Linked DNA regions of Macaca fascicularis. The protein of the gene in region 1 interacts with the protein of each later gene in a biochemical or structural test. Links are inferred from orthologs where the notes say so. Each region holds a gene or a part of one and is shown on either strand. Other genes may lie near its edges.

Region 1 (4,841 bases):
GCAGTGAGCTGAGATCCGGCCACTGCACTCCAGCCCAGGCTACAGAGCGAGACTCCGTCTCAAAAAAAAAAAAAGAAAAAAAAAAAAAAGAACTGGGAATAAGGCTGGGCGCAGTGGCTCATGCCTGTAATCCAAGCACTTTGGGAGGCCAAGGTGGGCGGATCACCTGAGGTCAGAGTTTGAGACCAGCCTGACCAATGGGATGAAATCCCGTCTCTACTAAAAATACAAAAATCAGCTGGCGTGGTCACATGCGCCTGTAATCCCAGCTACTGGGGAGGCTGAGACAGGAGAATCGCTTGAACCCGGGAGGAGGAGGTTGTGGTGAGCCGATATGGCGCTATTGCACTCCAGCCTGGGCAACACAGCAAAACTTCGTCTCAAAAAACAAAAACAAACAAACAAACAAAAAAAGAAGTGGTATTTAATTAGGTCTTCATCAACCTAGGGATTTGGGGTTGTCAGCAACAGAAACTACTACAGAAACCGACTACTTAGACTGGAGAGACAGGTGGTCCCCTAAGGGAAAATAAGAGTGTTAGGAGAAAGGAGAAGAGTGCTGGACAGTACATACTTAACAAGTATCCACTGGTTATTTCATAGAAGACCCAGAAATGTATTTATTTACAGTAATGTATTCATTACCCAGTAATGAAATCTGAGGGTTAGGAAGAGCAGAAAAGAAGGGAGTGTGGCAGGAAGGAGGAAAAATCAAAGTGGGCCCAAACAACATGGCAGCTAACAGAGATCTTGCAAGGAAAGGTCTACTCGTGGAAAACTCCTCCCAGGAATGTCAGAACTTTTAATAACGACATAGTAATGACACAAGAATAAACACACAGCCAAATGAGCAAACAACAGAATACAAAGTCTAGACATAGACACAAGTAAATATGCTAACATTATATATCAAGGGCAGCATTTAAATTCTATTGGGGCAGTTTGTTTAACAAATGGTGTTGACATAACTGGCTCTCCATCGCGCAGAAGTTAGACCCCAGCTCATACATGTATAAGGATAAACTCCAGTTATATTAAAGATTTAATTTTTTTTATAAAAAGAAGAAGGCCAGGCGCGGTGGCTCACGCCTGTAATACCAGCATTTGGGGAAGCCCAGGCGGGTGGATCACCTGAGGACAGGAGTTCGAGACCAGATTGGCCAACATAGTGAAAACCCGTCTCTACCAAAAATACAAAAATTCCGGGCGCCTGTAATCCCAGCCACTCGGGTGGCTGAGGCACGAGAATCGCTTGAAACCGGGAGGCAGAGGTTGCAGCAAGCCGAGATAGCACCACTATACTCCAGCCTGGGCGACAGAGAGAGACTCTGTCTCAAAAAAGGAAAGGGGAGGGGAGGGGAGGGGAGGGGAGGGGAGGGGAGGAGAGGGGAGGGGAGGAGAGGGGAGGGGAGGGAAGGGGAGGGGAGGGGAGGGGAGAAGAGAAGGGGAGGGGAGGAGAGGGGAGGAGAGGGGAGGGGAGGGGAGGGGAGGGGAGGGGAGAAGAGAAGGGGAGGGGAGGGGAGGGAGGGGAGAAGAGGAGGGGAGGGGAGGGGAGGGAGGGGAGAAGAGAAGGGGAGGGGAGGAGAGGGGAGGGGAGGGGAGAAGAGGAGGGGAGGGGAGAAGAGGAGGGGAGGGGAGAAGAGGAGGGGAGGGGAGAAGAGGAGGGGAGGGGAGGGGAGGGGAGGGGAGGGGAGGGGAGGGGAGGGGAGGGGAAGGGAAGGGAAGTAAAGAAAAGAAAAAGGAAGATAATTCACTGGGGGAATGTGGGGAAACCTTCCTAAGCTGGAAGCCAAGCGTGCCTCTTCCGTTGGGTTCCCATTACTTACGTCACAGGACATCGAGCCAATGGGAACTAGGCATGGGCGACGAGCTCACCCAATGGGGCCGGGGCGGGAGATTTGAAAGGTCCTCGGCCAGGGCGTGGCGTGGCAGATTCAGTTGTTTGCGGGCGGCCGGGAGAGTAGCAGTACCTTGGACCTCAGGTGAGCTGGCCTCCTGTCGCAGGCCTTGCGCCAGGAGTGGGCAGATGATCAGGCAGATCAGAGGGTCCGTTGGGCTGGCCTGCGCGCACACTGCAGGGCTGGAAGGAGGTAGGGATGATAGCAGGGTGGGGGCGGTGAGACAAGCGCCCGGATTGGAGCTAGTGTGCTGACCTGCTCCCTTTTACCAGCTCGGGCTAGCGCTTCCGGCTTGATCGGTCCAACCCCTACCTCTCTCTCTCTCTTTTTCTCTGCTTCTCACGGCTGTTTCCCTTCTCGGCCCAGCTCTCCTCCCCCTTTCCCTCTAAGGATGGCCCAGAAGGAGAACGCCTACCCCTGGCCCTACGGCCGGCAGACGGTAAGGCCCTTCCCTCCTTCCCCGCGCCCACATGACCCCGCATGGCGAGTTCCTGCTGGGAAACTTGAGATCGTGCAAAGAGCAATCCCTTATGCACTTTCTTTCCCGTTATGCTCCAAAGTACGCGCCCCAAGTTTGATGACAGAACCTGGTCTGGGCATTTGTAGCCAGCCACATCCTGTTAGGTGCTGCCAACTTGAATCTGACCAGCCAGTGACTACCAGCCGGTGAGGGCCTCTGCAGGGTTCATCACACACAAGTGATATCTGGGACTGAGCAGGCAGGGCCTGGCCTTCAGGCCATGATTCCCAACCCATGTCCTGAAAAAAATAAACTAGACAGCAAATATAAATAGACTCTAAAAGGATATAAAGTTACTGTTTAAAAGGTCCAGGAAAAGTCTAAATTATAATTTGGAATTAATGAGTAAGTTGAGGTAAGGATCTCAATGAATCTAAATGGATTTATTTCCCAGTTGTCCAGACAGATTTCATTGAGGGGCCTCCTCTCTGATTTGAAATGCCACCTTTATTATATATATAAATTCCCACATATATGTGGGTCTATTTCTGGACTGTATTTTATTCAACTTGCTTATTTGTAGATCTGTACCAATATCACTATTTGGGAAGAGGTTTTTAGGGGCATAGGGGCTCTCTTCTCTTGGCTGAAGAAGAAGGAAGGGGCCCTGCATAGGCTTTGCTCCCTGTTTGTGGAGCTCGGGCTTCCTGGAGAATCTGCCTGTCCCCTTGTTCATCAGCTCCCTCCCTCACGGAGCAATGAGTGAGGCTGTCAGGAATGGAGTCTGAATGAGAAACCATTGTCACTTTTACCTTGGTCACTCCTAAAAGAAAGTGTATCTATTATTTTGAGAAGCTGAAAGTGAGGCCAGGTGCAGTGGCTCATACCTGTAATCGTGGGAGGCTGAGGCAGGTGGATCACCTGAGGTCAGGAGTTCAAGACCAGCCTGGCCAACATGGTGAAACCCTGTCTCTACTAAAAATACAAAAATTAGCCAGGCATGGTGGCGGACGCCTGTAATCCCAGCTACTCAGGAGGCTGAGGCAGAAGAATTGCCTGAACCTGGGAGGTGGAGGTTGCAGTGAGCCGAGATGGCGCCATTGCACTCCAGCCTGGGTAATAGAGCAAGACTCCATCTCAGAAGAAAAAAAAGAAGGTGAAAGTGAGAAGTGGTCCAGGGCCATCAGAGTAGCTCTTAGTGTCCTTAAAGGCTGTTCTTGCAAAGGTGTAACCCCTGGTTATTGCTATAACATTCAAGGCCTCAAGCTTCTTATCTAAGCCTTAATAAACTAAGCTTTTTGGGAGACTTTGAGAATACCTCTGTCTAAACCCCTTGAATTGTGGGTGTTCACAGTAGACACCCAGCTCTCTACTGTGGTGTAGGTGAGAGGCTAGATGAATGGCTGTGGTGTTATGGACAGGACTTATACAAGTTGAACAGCTTCATGCCTGAAAAGTGTGGGCCAGGGCCAAAGAGGTGAAATGTTAGGTGTTGGTGTGAGTCTTTTGCCCCTTATCTTAGGCCTACTTAGGTTATTTTTTAATTTTTTAATTTTTATTTTTTAGAGACAGAGTCTCACTCTGTCGCCCAGGCTGGAGTGCAGTGGCGCAATCTCAACTCACTGCAACCTCTGCCGCCCGGGCTCAAGCAATTCTCCTGCCTCAGCCTCTCAAGTAGCTGGGATTACAGGACCCGCACCCAGCTAATTTTTTTTTTTTTTTTTGAGACGAAGTCTAGCTCTGTCGCCCAGGCTAGAGTGCAATGGCACAATCTCGGCCCACTGCAACCTCTGCCTCCTAGGTTCAAGCGATTCTCCTGCCTCAGCCTCCTGAGTAGGTGGGATTACAGGCACTCGCCACCACGCCCAGCTAATTTTTGTATTTTTAGTAGAGTGGGGTTTCACTGTGTTGGCCATGCTGGTCTCGAACTCCTGACCTCGTGATCCGCCTGCCTCAGCCTTCCAAAGTGCTGGGATTACAAGCGTGACCCACCACACCCAGCCGCACTGGGCTAATTTTTTGTATTTTTAGTAGAGACGGGGTTTCACCATGTTGGCCAGGCTGGTCTTGAACTCCTGACTGCGTGAGCCACTGCGCCCGGCCCTAGGTTGTTTATGAATAACCCATTTTAACATGGGACTGTGAGCAGAGGCTGGGAGGCAAAACTGTCACATCAGTGTTTCTCTTTGAATTGGGGGTGGGCGGGTGGGTGGCTCTTTAGCAAGGGGCTGAAATACTGCTTGCAGCACATTCCACCCGGGTCATCAGACAAAGGCACCCTCAGAGCTACCCCCTGCTCCTTCTCAGGCTCCGTCTGGCCTGAGCACCCTGCCCCAGCGAGTCCTCCGGAAAGAGCCTGTCACCCCATCTGCACTTGTCCTCATGAGCCGCTCCAATGTCCAGCCCACAGGTACCTGGGGCAAGGGGGAGAGGACTGATGAGCGTCTATGGGAGGGTTTAGGGATGAGAAGGTCATCCCTGCT
Region 2 (4,669 bases), on another chromosome or scaffold:
AGCTCACTGTCTTATAGTCGCACAATATGTGAGTGAGTGCCGAGATGATAGAAAGCAATACCTTATATTAAAACTACTGATTAGAGTCTTCCATTTTTACCTCATGAGAGCCAAAGGAAACCAACATTTGAATTGACTACCCAATGTCCTGCCCATTTCTGTCCTGTAGCACTTGGGGTATGTTGCTTATTTCGTTATATTGTTAAATCCATGGAGTCTCTATGAATTCCACAGCTCTTCCTGCCGGTTTTAATGCTATCCTTTTAGTTTTGTTCTTAGTTTAGAGAAAGATCTTTGTAATACATTTGTTGGTCTGGTTGCTTAGCAGCTTGCTGTGATTATGTAGCTTGGAACAGATACTTGCCATTTGAAAATCTTGGTTTCCGGCCCTGATTCAGGTATATATTGCATCCAGGCTTGGAACTGAAAACTTTTTTTCTATTATAGCAATTATCATATGAATATAAATGAATAATTCTGCAGCACTTAATAGAAAATATCTTATGTTTATATATTCTTTTTTTTTTTTTTGCTCTGGCACCCAGGTTGGAGTGCAGTGGCACCATCTCAGCTCATTGCAACCTCTGCCTCCCAGGTTCAAGCAATCCTCCTGCCTCAGCCTCCCAAGTAGCTGGGATTATAGGCACACATCACTGTGCCCAGCTAATTTTTGTGTTTTTACTAGAGACAGGGTTTCGCCATGTTGGCCCAGGCTGGTCTCGAACTCCTGACCTCAAGTGATCCACCCACCTTGGCCTCCCAAAGTGCTGGGATTATAGGTGTGAGCCACCGTGCCCAGCCTATGTTCATATATTCTTTGTCCTTTGTGCTTTTTAATATATTTTTTCTTGCTCTCATAGCTTGTGGTACAATCTTATAAACATTGCAAAATCACTAACCCTTCATAAGAGTTCTTAAAATTTTATTTAGGAAATAAGGACCTGGACTAGAATGTTGAAGCATTGGTTAAGAGAAACATAAGAATCCTTTAATGGTATTTCTGAGGACATTACATTTCTAATGAAATTTGACTTTTTATTTCATTTCCTTGATAGTTTTCATAACATCCAGTTAATGTGTTTCTTTCTTGACTGTTAAGTGAAGATCTTATTTCCTCAAAGTGTTCCCAGTTAAAATCTATTTGGAATATAACTGCCTGTAATGACACTGTTTTTTCTGTAGTATCAGCAGGCCTTTGGGGGGAAATACGAAGCCTGAAATTCACTATACAGAACACAGTAGCAAATGATTTTTGCTTTGCCCTTCGAACTATGAAGGTGGTGTATTGTCTCTCTGATGCCAGAATGTGGTACAACATAATCCTTTGCCTCTACTTAGTATAAATTTGTTAGACATAGTTCCTCCACACAGCCTAGCAGAGAAGCCCTGCATTACAGAAATAATTCTTGTGCTGCTGAGCTGGCGATTTTCCCACTTAATCATTCGTGTGACGTCATCTGTGCTGTTGGTAGGAAATGTGCTGACCATGTCCTGCATTTTAAAAGGCAGTTGCAACAGGGGCATTAGCTAAAAATGAAATTAAAAATAGATATTTTAAGTCACATTGTAGGTCTTCAAGGCCCACAAGGAATAAACTGGTAAAAGTATTATATTAATCAATAGGCTTGACTTGAAGAACCACATTTTGTTGTTGGTCAGTCACTTAGTAATCAACTGACATGCTTTTTCCTATTTGTTTTCTGCTACAAAGTGATTGGAGGGGCTGTTATATTCAAAGGTCTGAAATGGTTTTCTAATTTTAAGATGAGTCTTAAATATTCCAAGTTTGTTTTTATAATAAGAATCACACAAAACATCTGTTGTTAGCTTGAGATTCTTATAATGGTAGTTATAAATGGAAGAGTCCAGATGTTGGTCACTGATGGCTGGATTGCTATAGAATCTTCTGTCGTGGGTGAGAAGGCAGGACCCCTAATGTATATTTGATTTCTTGGCAGAAAGATGGATACTATGATGCTGAATATGCGGAATCTGTTTGAGCAGCTTGTGCGCCGGGCAGAGATTCTCAGTGAAGGAAATGAACTCCGTAAGTCATTCTGAGCTGGCCTGTCCAAGGAAAAACAGATTTCAAATTTGGGATTTTTACAAAGCTGAAGTATTTTCCAGTCTTAAAGTTGTTTTTCATTTGGGTTACCTAAAAATAAAGCAGTGGTCACTTACGTGGTCAAAGCCTAACAGGCACTCATTCTAAATGGTCACTAAAATTCTTTTCTGTAGCTGCTCTTAATAGGTTTTAGCCAGGCTTTTTTATTATCTTTATTTATTTTTTGAGATGGAGTCTCTCTCTGTCACCCAGGCTGGAGCGCAGTGGCGACATCACGGCTCACTGCAACCTCTGCTCCCCAGGTTCAAGCGATTCCCTGTCTCAGCCTCTCGAGTAGCAGGGATTACAGGCACATGCCACCAAGCCCGGCTAATTTTTTGTATTTTTAGTAGAGACAGGGTTTTGCATGTTAACCAGGCTATTTTCAAACTCCTGACCTCAGGTGATCCGCCTGCCTCGGCCTCCCAAAGTGCTGGGATTACAGGCGTCAGCCACTGTGCCTGGCCGCTTTTTTATTATCAAGATTCTTTTTCTGCTGAATAGTTGGCACTATTTTCTGTGCCATGAACTGGGAAAAATTTACTAGGATATTGCTTTTTTCTTTAGAGTAGCAGTTGGCTATACTTTTTATCCTGGATTTTCTTTGTGTTCTATAAAAGCATTTTCAGTTGAAGTGGGAAAAAGTCATAATTTCTTCTTTCTTTTTTCTTTTTTCTTTTTTTTAAAGAATGTCACTCTGTCTCCCAGGTTGCACCACCATGCCCTGCTACTTTTTCAAAATTTTTTATAGAGATAAGGTCTCCCTATTTTACCCAGGCTGGTGTCCACCTCTTGGCCTCAAGCAATCCTCTCACTTCTGCCTCCCAAAGTGCTGGGATTATAGGCATGAGCCACCAGGCCCAGTCCACAATTTCTTTTTGAAGGAGATACTAGGCATCTGCTTTCACCTAATTCATATATTTGATGCTGAGTAATTAATGATTGAGAGCCAAGTTTGGTGGCTTGCACCTGTAATCCCAGCTACTCAGGAGGCTGAGGCAGGAGAATCACTTGATGCCAGGAGTTTGAGACCAGCTTGGGCAACATAGCAAGACTGTCTCTGAAAACATTAGCGGTCGGGCATAGTGGCTCATGCCTATAATCTTAGCACTTTGTAGGGCTGAGATGAGTGGATCGATTGAGTCCAGGAGTTTGAGACCAGCCTGGGCAACATGGCAAAACCCCATCTCTGGTTTTATTTTTTTTTTTGAGATGGAATATCACTCTGTCACCCAGGTTGGAGTGCAGTGGCGTGATCTCGGCTCACTGCAACCTCCACCTTCTGGGCTCAAGCAATTGTCCTGCCTCAGCCTCCCAGGTAGCTGGGATTATAAGCGTCTGCCACCACACTCAGCTAATTTTTGTATTTTTAGTAGAGATGGGGTTTTGTCATGTTGGCCGGGCTGGTCTTGAACTCCTGACCTCAAATGATCCACCCACCACAGCCTCCTCCCGAAGTGCTGGGATTACAGGTTTGAGCGCCTGACCACAAAAACCCCATCTCTACAGAAAAAAAAAAGAAAAAGAAAAAGAAACAGCTGGTGTGGTGGCATGCTCCTGTGATCCCAGCTACCTCGGAGGCTGAGGTGGGAGGATGGCTGGGAAGGCGGAGGTTGCAGTGAGCTGAGATCACACTGGTGTACTCCAACCTAGGACAGAGCGAGACCCTATTTCAAAAACAAAAGAATTAGCTGGGTGTGGTGACACACGCCTATGGTCCCAGATACTCAGGAGGCTGAAGGGATTGCTTGAGCCCAGGAGTTTGAGGCTACAGTGAACTATGATTGTGCCACTGCACTAAAGCCTGGGTGACAGAGTGAGACTCCATCTCCCCGGGGGAAAGAATAAAGGATTGAGATGGGGTGGCGAACTGGGGAGAAAAAGGAGGTGCTAATAGAGGAACTGTCTGGGAAATAAATTAGCAAGAAAGAAAAATGGGGCTGATGGTACTGACATGTGATCTAAGGGAATTATTCTATACCAGCTTCTCTTTGTATTACCATCCTCTCCTATTTCAGACTTTCATTAATACCTAATTTAGTAAATGTTGTTCTCGAGTCAGCCTTACTGGTGTTAAAGTAATGTAAGAACTGTGTCTTGAACTTTTTTTTATTTCTATAGTACTTACTGTGGTATCTTGCTTATGCCATTCAATATTTTCTTTGAATTGATTGATGTTTTTAATAGCTCTTATCCACTTACAGGCCTTTCAAAACAATATTCTATTTTCTGTCTCTAATAGCTGCTGCATGACCCTATCATCTGGTACCAGCTCAGTAACCACAATGGCATACTAATTAGGCTTCTCTTTGAGGTCACATCATCTCAGAAGATGGATTACTTTAGAGTGTGGTGGGGACTAGAGTGTGGAATAAGAGATCTTAATACTCAGGTTCATTCAGCAAATATTTTGTGAGAACCTATCAGGGCTTTTAGCATTTTTGAATTGAGGGAAAGGGATGACTAAATGGTGTTATGGGGGAAAGGGTTTGAGCTGAGCTTTAGCTATAGGGTAGAATCCCAACAGGCAGAGATGAAAGGGGGTATTTTAGATCAGGTGACAGC
Region 3 (4,654 bases), on another chromosome or scaffold:
GCTATGTTGCCCAGGCTGGTCTTGAACTCCTGGGCTCAAGTGATACTCCTGCCTTGGCCTCCCAAAGTGCTAGGATTACAGGTATGAAGCCCCACCCCATGCCCTGCCCTCTGCTTATTTTTCTTTAAAAAAAAAATGTGTTTTTATTTTAATTATTTTTTTAAAGTTTAAAGATAGGGTCTTGCTATGTTGCCCAGGCTGGTCTCAAATTCCCGGGCTCAAGCAATCTACCTGCCTCGGCCTCCCAAAGTGCTGGGATTACAGGTGTGAGCCACTGTGCCTAGCCTGCTTATTTTTCTATCTCAGCAGGTTGCTGCAAAGTGTGGAGTAAGTTGCTCACCCTCATCATACCCAGTAACCACTCAGAGCTTTTTAAACAGTCCATCCTTGCCTTGGACTGAATTCCAGAGATGATATCCTTTGCTTCTGGCAAAAATTTAGCAGTCAATAGAAGTACAGTAAATGTGTGTTGAATGAAAAGGTCTTTGTGAGATTTACATGTAGAATAAAAAGTTAGGTTAGATCCTCCTGCTAGAAACCCTCACAGTATCTTGTAAAACAGTTAAGATCTCAGGCTATGAAACCAGAATACCTGGGTTCAAACAGACTATTCCACTAACTAGCTTATGAGGCCTTGAGCAAAGTATCCAATTTCTCTGTGCCTTAATCTTGTCATTTAGAAAAATAGGGATATTATTAGTTATGAAGAAAAATTAGTTAATATATGTAAAACACTTGGTACAATGCCCATCCGGCATAGAAATCACAATATGCTCACTGACAACTACTCTATTCTATCTCCTTTGTAGTACCTATACTTTTAATTACATAATTGTATGTGGATTTTTCTAATAGCTCTTTTCTACTAACCTGTATGTTTCTGAAGGCAGAGACAATGTCTGTTTTATTCCCCAGTGCATCTTTAGCACCTAGCACTGTGACTCACACATGCTCAGTATTTGTAGAAATGAGCAAATGAATGGCTTAATATTAATAAATAAAAGGACAAGTCAAAAGGATCATTCAACGTCTAATATGTGAACAGAACATGCATTTCTATCCAGCAAGGAGACTACATGCTGGATAATTAATAATAAGGAAAACTTTTGCAACCCAGCAGAAAAGTACAGCCTCCTGCATTTCTCTGGACATTTAATAAGGGAGTGGGGAAGCAGGCTGGGATTTTTCTCTGGCCAGGAAAACTGATGTGCCTTTTTTTTTTTGAGATGGAGTTTCATTCTTGTTGCCCAGGCTGGAGTGCAATGGCGGGCTCTTGGCTCACCGCAACCTCCACCTCCCAGGTTCAAGCGATTCTCCTGCCTCAGCCTCCTGAATAGCTGGGATTAGAAGCATGCGCCACCACACCCGGCTAACTTTTTTTATTTTTAGTAGAGACAGGGTTTCTTTCTTTTTTTTTTTTTTTTGTGAGATGGAGTCTCTCTCTGTCGCCCAGGATGGAGTGCAGTGGCCGGATCTCAGCTCACTGCAAGCTCCGCCTCCTGGGTTTACGCCATTCTCCTGCCTCAGCCTCCGGAGTAGCTGGGACTACAGGCACCCGCCACCACGCCCGGCTAGTTTTTTGTATTTTTTTTAGTAGAGACGGGGTTTCACCGTGTTAGCCAGGATGGTCTCGATCTCCTGACCTCCTGATCCACCCGTCTCGGCCTCCCAAAGTGCTGGGATTACAGGCTTGAGCCACCACGCCCGGCCGAGACAGGGTTTCTCCATGTTGATCAGGCTGGTCTCGAACTCCTGACCTCAGGTGATCTGCCCGCCTCAGCCTCCCAAAGTGCTGGGATTACAGGCATGAACCACTGCGCCCAGCCTGATGTGCCCATTTTTAAGTTAGCAATTTCCATAAGCTGCATAAGGAGCTGCTTTGGGTTATTCTTTCATCTGAGCTCTGGTTAACTAACCATGTCATTTATTCATTCATTTTTAAATGGGTTGGGTAAAATATACATATTTTTTAAAAATACTATTTTCTGGCTGGGCACAGTGGCTGACTCCTGTAATCCCAGCACTTTGGGAGGCTGAGGCATGCAGATCACTTGAGGTCAGTAGTGCGAGACCAGCCTGGCCAACATGGTGAAGCCTCGTCTCTACTGAAAATACAAAAATCAGCAGGGCATAGTGGCAGGAGACCGTAATCCCAGCTACTCCGGAGGCTGAGGCAGGAGAATCACTTGAATACAGAAGGTGGAGGTTGCAGTGAGCCAAGATCGCACCACTGCACTGCACTCCAGCCTGGGTGACAGAGTGAGACTCTGTTCCAAAAAAATAAAATAAAATTCCTGATGTGTGAAAATTATGTGAAATTCACATTTCAGTGTATCCACAACTAAAATTTTATTGGAATACAGCCCATCCATGCCCATTCACTATAGCTGTTTTGGACCTGTAACAGCAGAGCTAAGTTGTCCGACAGAGACCCCTCCCACCGGCTCAAGTAGCCTAAAATATTTGCTACCTAGGCCTTTAGAGAAAAGGATGGAGACACATGACTTACGGAAGTGAGACAGAGAGTGAAAGGGTCTGCAATTTTCCATAAGTGGTCATGTCAGATTTCATTAAAAGGTGACATCTGAGCGAGTCCTTTCTGAAGGGTGTTACCTAACCCCACGGGGCTCCCGGCCTCCGCCCAGGGAAGCTCTCCAGCTCTTACCGAAGTAGTCAAGCCAGTTCATCTGGCGCAGCGCCTTGGGGAGCCGCAGGATCTCGATGTTGTAGAGGTTATCCACCTCCTTGAGGAGGTTCTGCCTGTCTGACTCAATTTGCTTGATTCGTATTTCCACTGCGGGAGGGCAGAGCCGACAGGACACGGGTCACGGGGCGGGTGAATGTGTGCAGCTCGTGTCCCCACCCGCCAGCATCCCGCGACCGCCCCAGGAGGCCGCGACGGCCTGGCCCCTTTACCTTCACGGTCGAAGTCTTTCAGAAAGGAGGCGAGCTTCCGCCTCCGTAAGGAGTTGATCTTGGCCACCCGACTACTGCCCTTCCTAGGAGCCATGGCGCTCGGCGGAGGCTGCGGGGAGCGGCGGAGATGGGGCAGGGAGGCAAGGAACCAGGTAGGGACCAGGAGGGCGGATGGGGACCACCCGAATAAGTCGCCAGGCACGTACCTCCGGTCTCGCGACAAGGACTGAGTAAAACCTCGCTATGCCAGTGAGAGAGAGCGGCTCTACCGTCAACCGCCACCTAATTCAAACTCCACAGCCACAGGCTGACGAATGAGAAACCGCCGTCCCACAGTATCCAATCACAAGCAAGTTCCTACCTGCCCGGGGTCTCCCGCCCAATGCGCTCCCTATAGCCGGAGTGCGTCAGCGCGGGCGCCGCCGTCGCGGGTGCTCCTGGGAGTTGTGGTCCAGGCTTGTTTCCCCGCCCTCCCCACCAACCCACCCGGCTCCGCCCTGGCCGGCTGCAAACTATACAAACTGCGACTCCCGGCAGGCCTTGCGGCGGGTCCTCATTACCCCAATCTTTGAAGGGCTAGGAGCGGACTAGGTCAGGTCGGCTGTAGGATTCTGCTCCGGGGCCGGCGGCTGCTTCTTCCAGGCCTGGCTGCCACTGAGTAGCCGAGGGGCCGCCGTGACACTCTGACTGATTGACTGGTTGGCTGCCTACGTCGGCGCTCCTCAGGGCCCCAAGCTCCCCAGGCCGAACTTGGGGCAAGTGGAGGGTCGGCGGAGACAGAGCAGCCCCGACAGGGTTTGGAAGGGGTCGAGGCGGAATGACAGGGGAGCGGGGCCGGGGTGCAGGCTTTGGGGTGGGCGCGCCAGCCCGTGGCCAGTTTGGGCAGCGAGTGGGGAGAACCCTCTTGTTCCTCGCTTGCCCGCGGGCCGGCCACTCCCGTCCAGTTCGCGTCTTGGCGCCTCGACTGGGTGTGCAGCGCGGGGCCGCGACTTCAGGTGCGAGTAGTGGCGCTTGGCAGCTGCCCACGCGGTGACTGCAGCGTGAGCCGCGGCCACCACACTCCAGGGAGCCCAGGGCAGGAGGCAGCTCTGGGTGTTCTGGCCGTGGGCCTGGGAATGGGCGTGTAGACCTCGAACCCCGCTGAGCCGCAGTCCTGTCGGAAGTGCTAACTGTGCATCTTTGCATCTGCCCACAGCCACAGGGTTGGATTGCTCAAGGGTTGTGCTGAGACCCAGCAAGGCTAGAGGCTAGTTTCGAAGCTGTAGCTCAGGCTGAGTCTCAAGGCGGGCGACGACTGGACGGCCAGACCGGCGAGCTCTTGACAGGTTTGTGGCCTGATTGTTTGGATTTGGTGCTTTTCACCTGTGGATGCGGAATGAAGCCATGTCAGAGGGGTTGTTTGTGTTTAAGCGTGCATGTTATAGGCTATGGGAGTGATAATCTTGCCTCTCCCCCTCTGAGTTCAGGAACAATCAAAGAAATAAGCAAAGGTGCCAAGCAGGCTCCTGATGGGCACCAGCGAGCTTGGGGACAGAGCAGTCCAAGCATAGAAACCCTGGCAAGCCTGGCCCTTCCTAGAAAGTCCTTTCTCTCTCTCTTCCACCCTGGTTTGTTGCTCCATATACAAAAAATATTTGAATGTCGCTCTTCCGCCCAAGGTCAGCCCTGGGCAGTGGGTGGTGGGGGTGACACCCGAGTCTGCTGGGTGCCTAAGGATCTCCATCAGTTAGATGGCCAA

What was found.
Region 2: of the proteins of AURKB (region 1) and RACGAP1, one has a biochemical effect on the other in vitro, tested with the Homo sapiens proteins (2 studies listed by BioGRID and IntAct). The link is inferred for Macaca fascicularis from reciprocal best matches to the Homo sapiens genes AURKB and RACGAP1.
Region 3: the proteins of AURKB (region 1) and CDCA8 form a complex in vitro, tested with the Homo sapiens proteins (3 studies listed by BioGRID, with this or other methods). The link is inferred for Macaca fascicularis from reciprocal best matches to the Homo sapiens genes AURKB and CDCA8.

The regions. Positions count from the first base shown.
Region 1 is NC_088390.1:8,288,286-8,293,126, reverse strand, and holds the start of AURKB (aurora kinase B), read left to right. Parts: upstream 1-1,936; 5' UTR 1,937-1,982; intron 1,983-2,264; 5' UTR 2,265-2,289; coding exon 2,290-2,337; intron 2,338-4,604; exon of another isoform or gene 4,605-4,665; coding exon 4,666-4,768; intron 4,769-4,841. UniProt on the Homo sapiens protein: Serine/threonine-protein kinase component of the chromosomal passenger complex (CPC), a complex that acts as a key regulator of mitosis.
Region 2 is NC_088385.1:56,844,362-56,849,030, reverse strand, and holds the start of RACGAP1 (rac GTPase-activating protein 1), read left to right. Parts: upstream 1-1,464; 5' UTR 1,465-1,679; coding exon 1,680-1,738; intron 1,739-1,958; coding exon 1,959-2,047; intron 2,048-4,669.
Region 3 is NC_088375.1:197,227,388-197,232,041, forward strand, and holds the start of CDCA8 (borealin), read right to left. Parts: upstream 3,206-4,654; 5' UTR 3,123-3,205; intron 3,026-3,122; 5' UTR 3,011-3,025; coding exon 2,917-3,010; intron 2,795-2,916; coding exon 2,666-2,794; intron 1-2,665.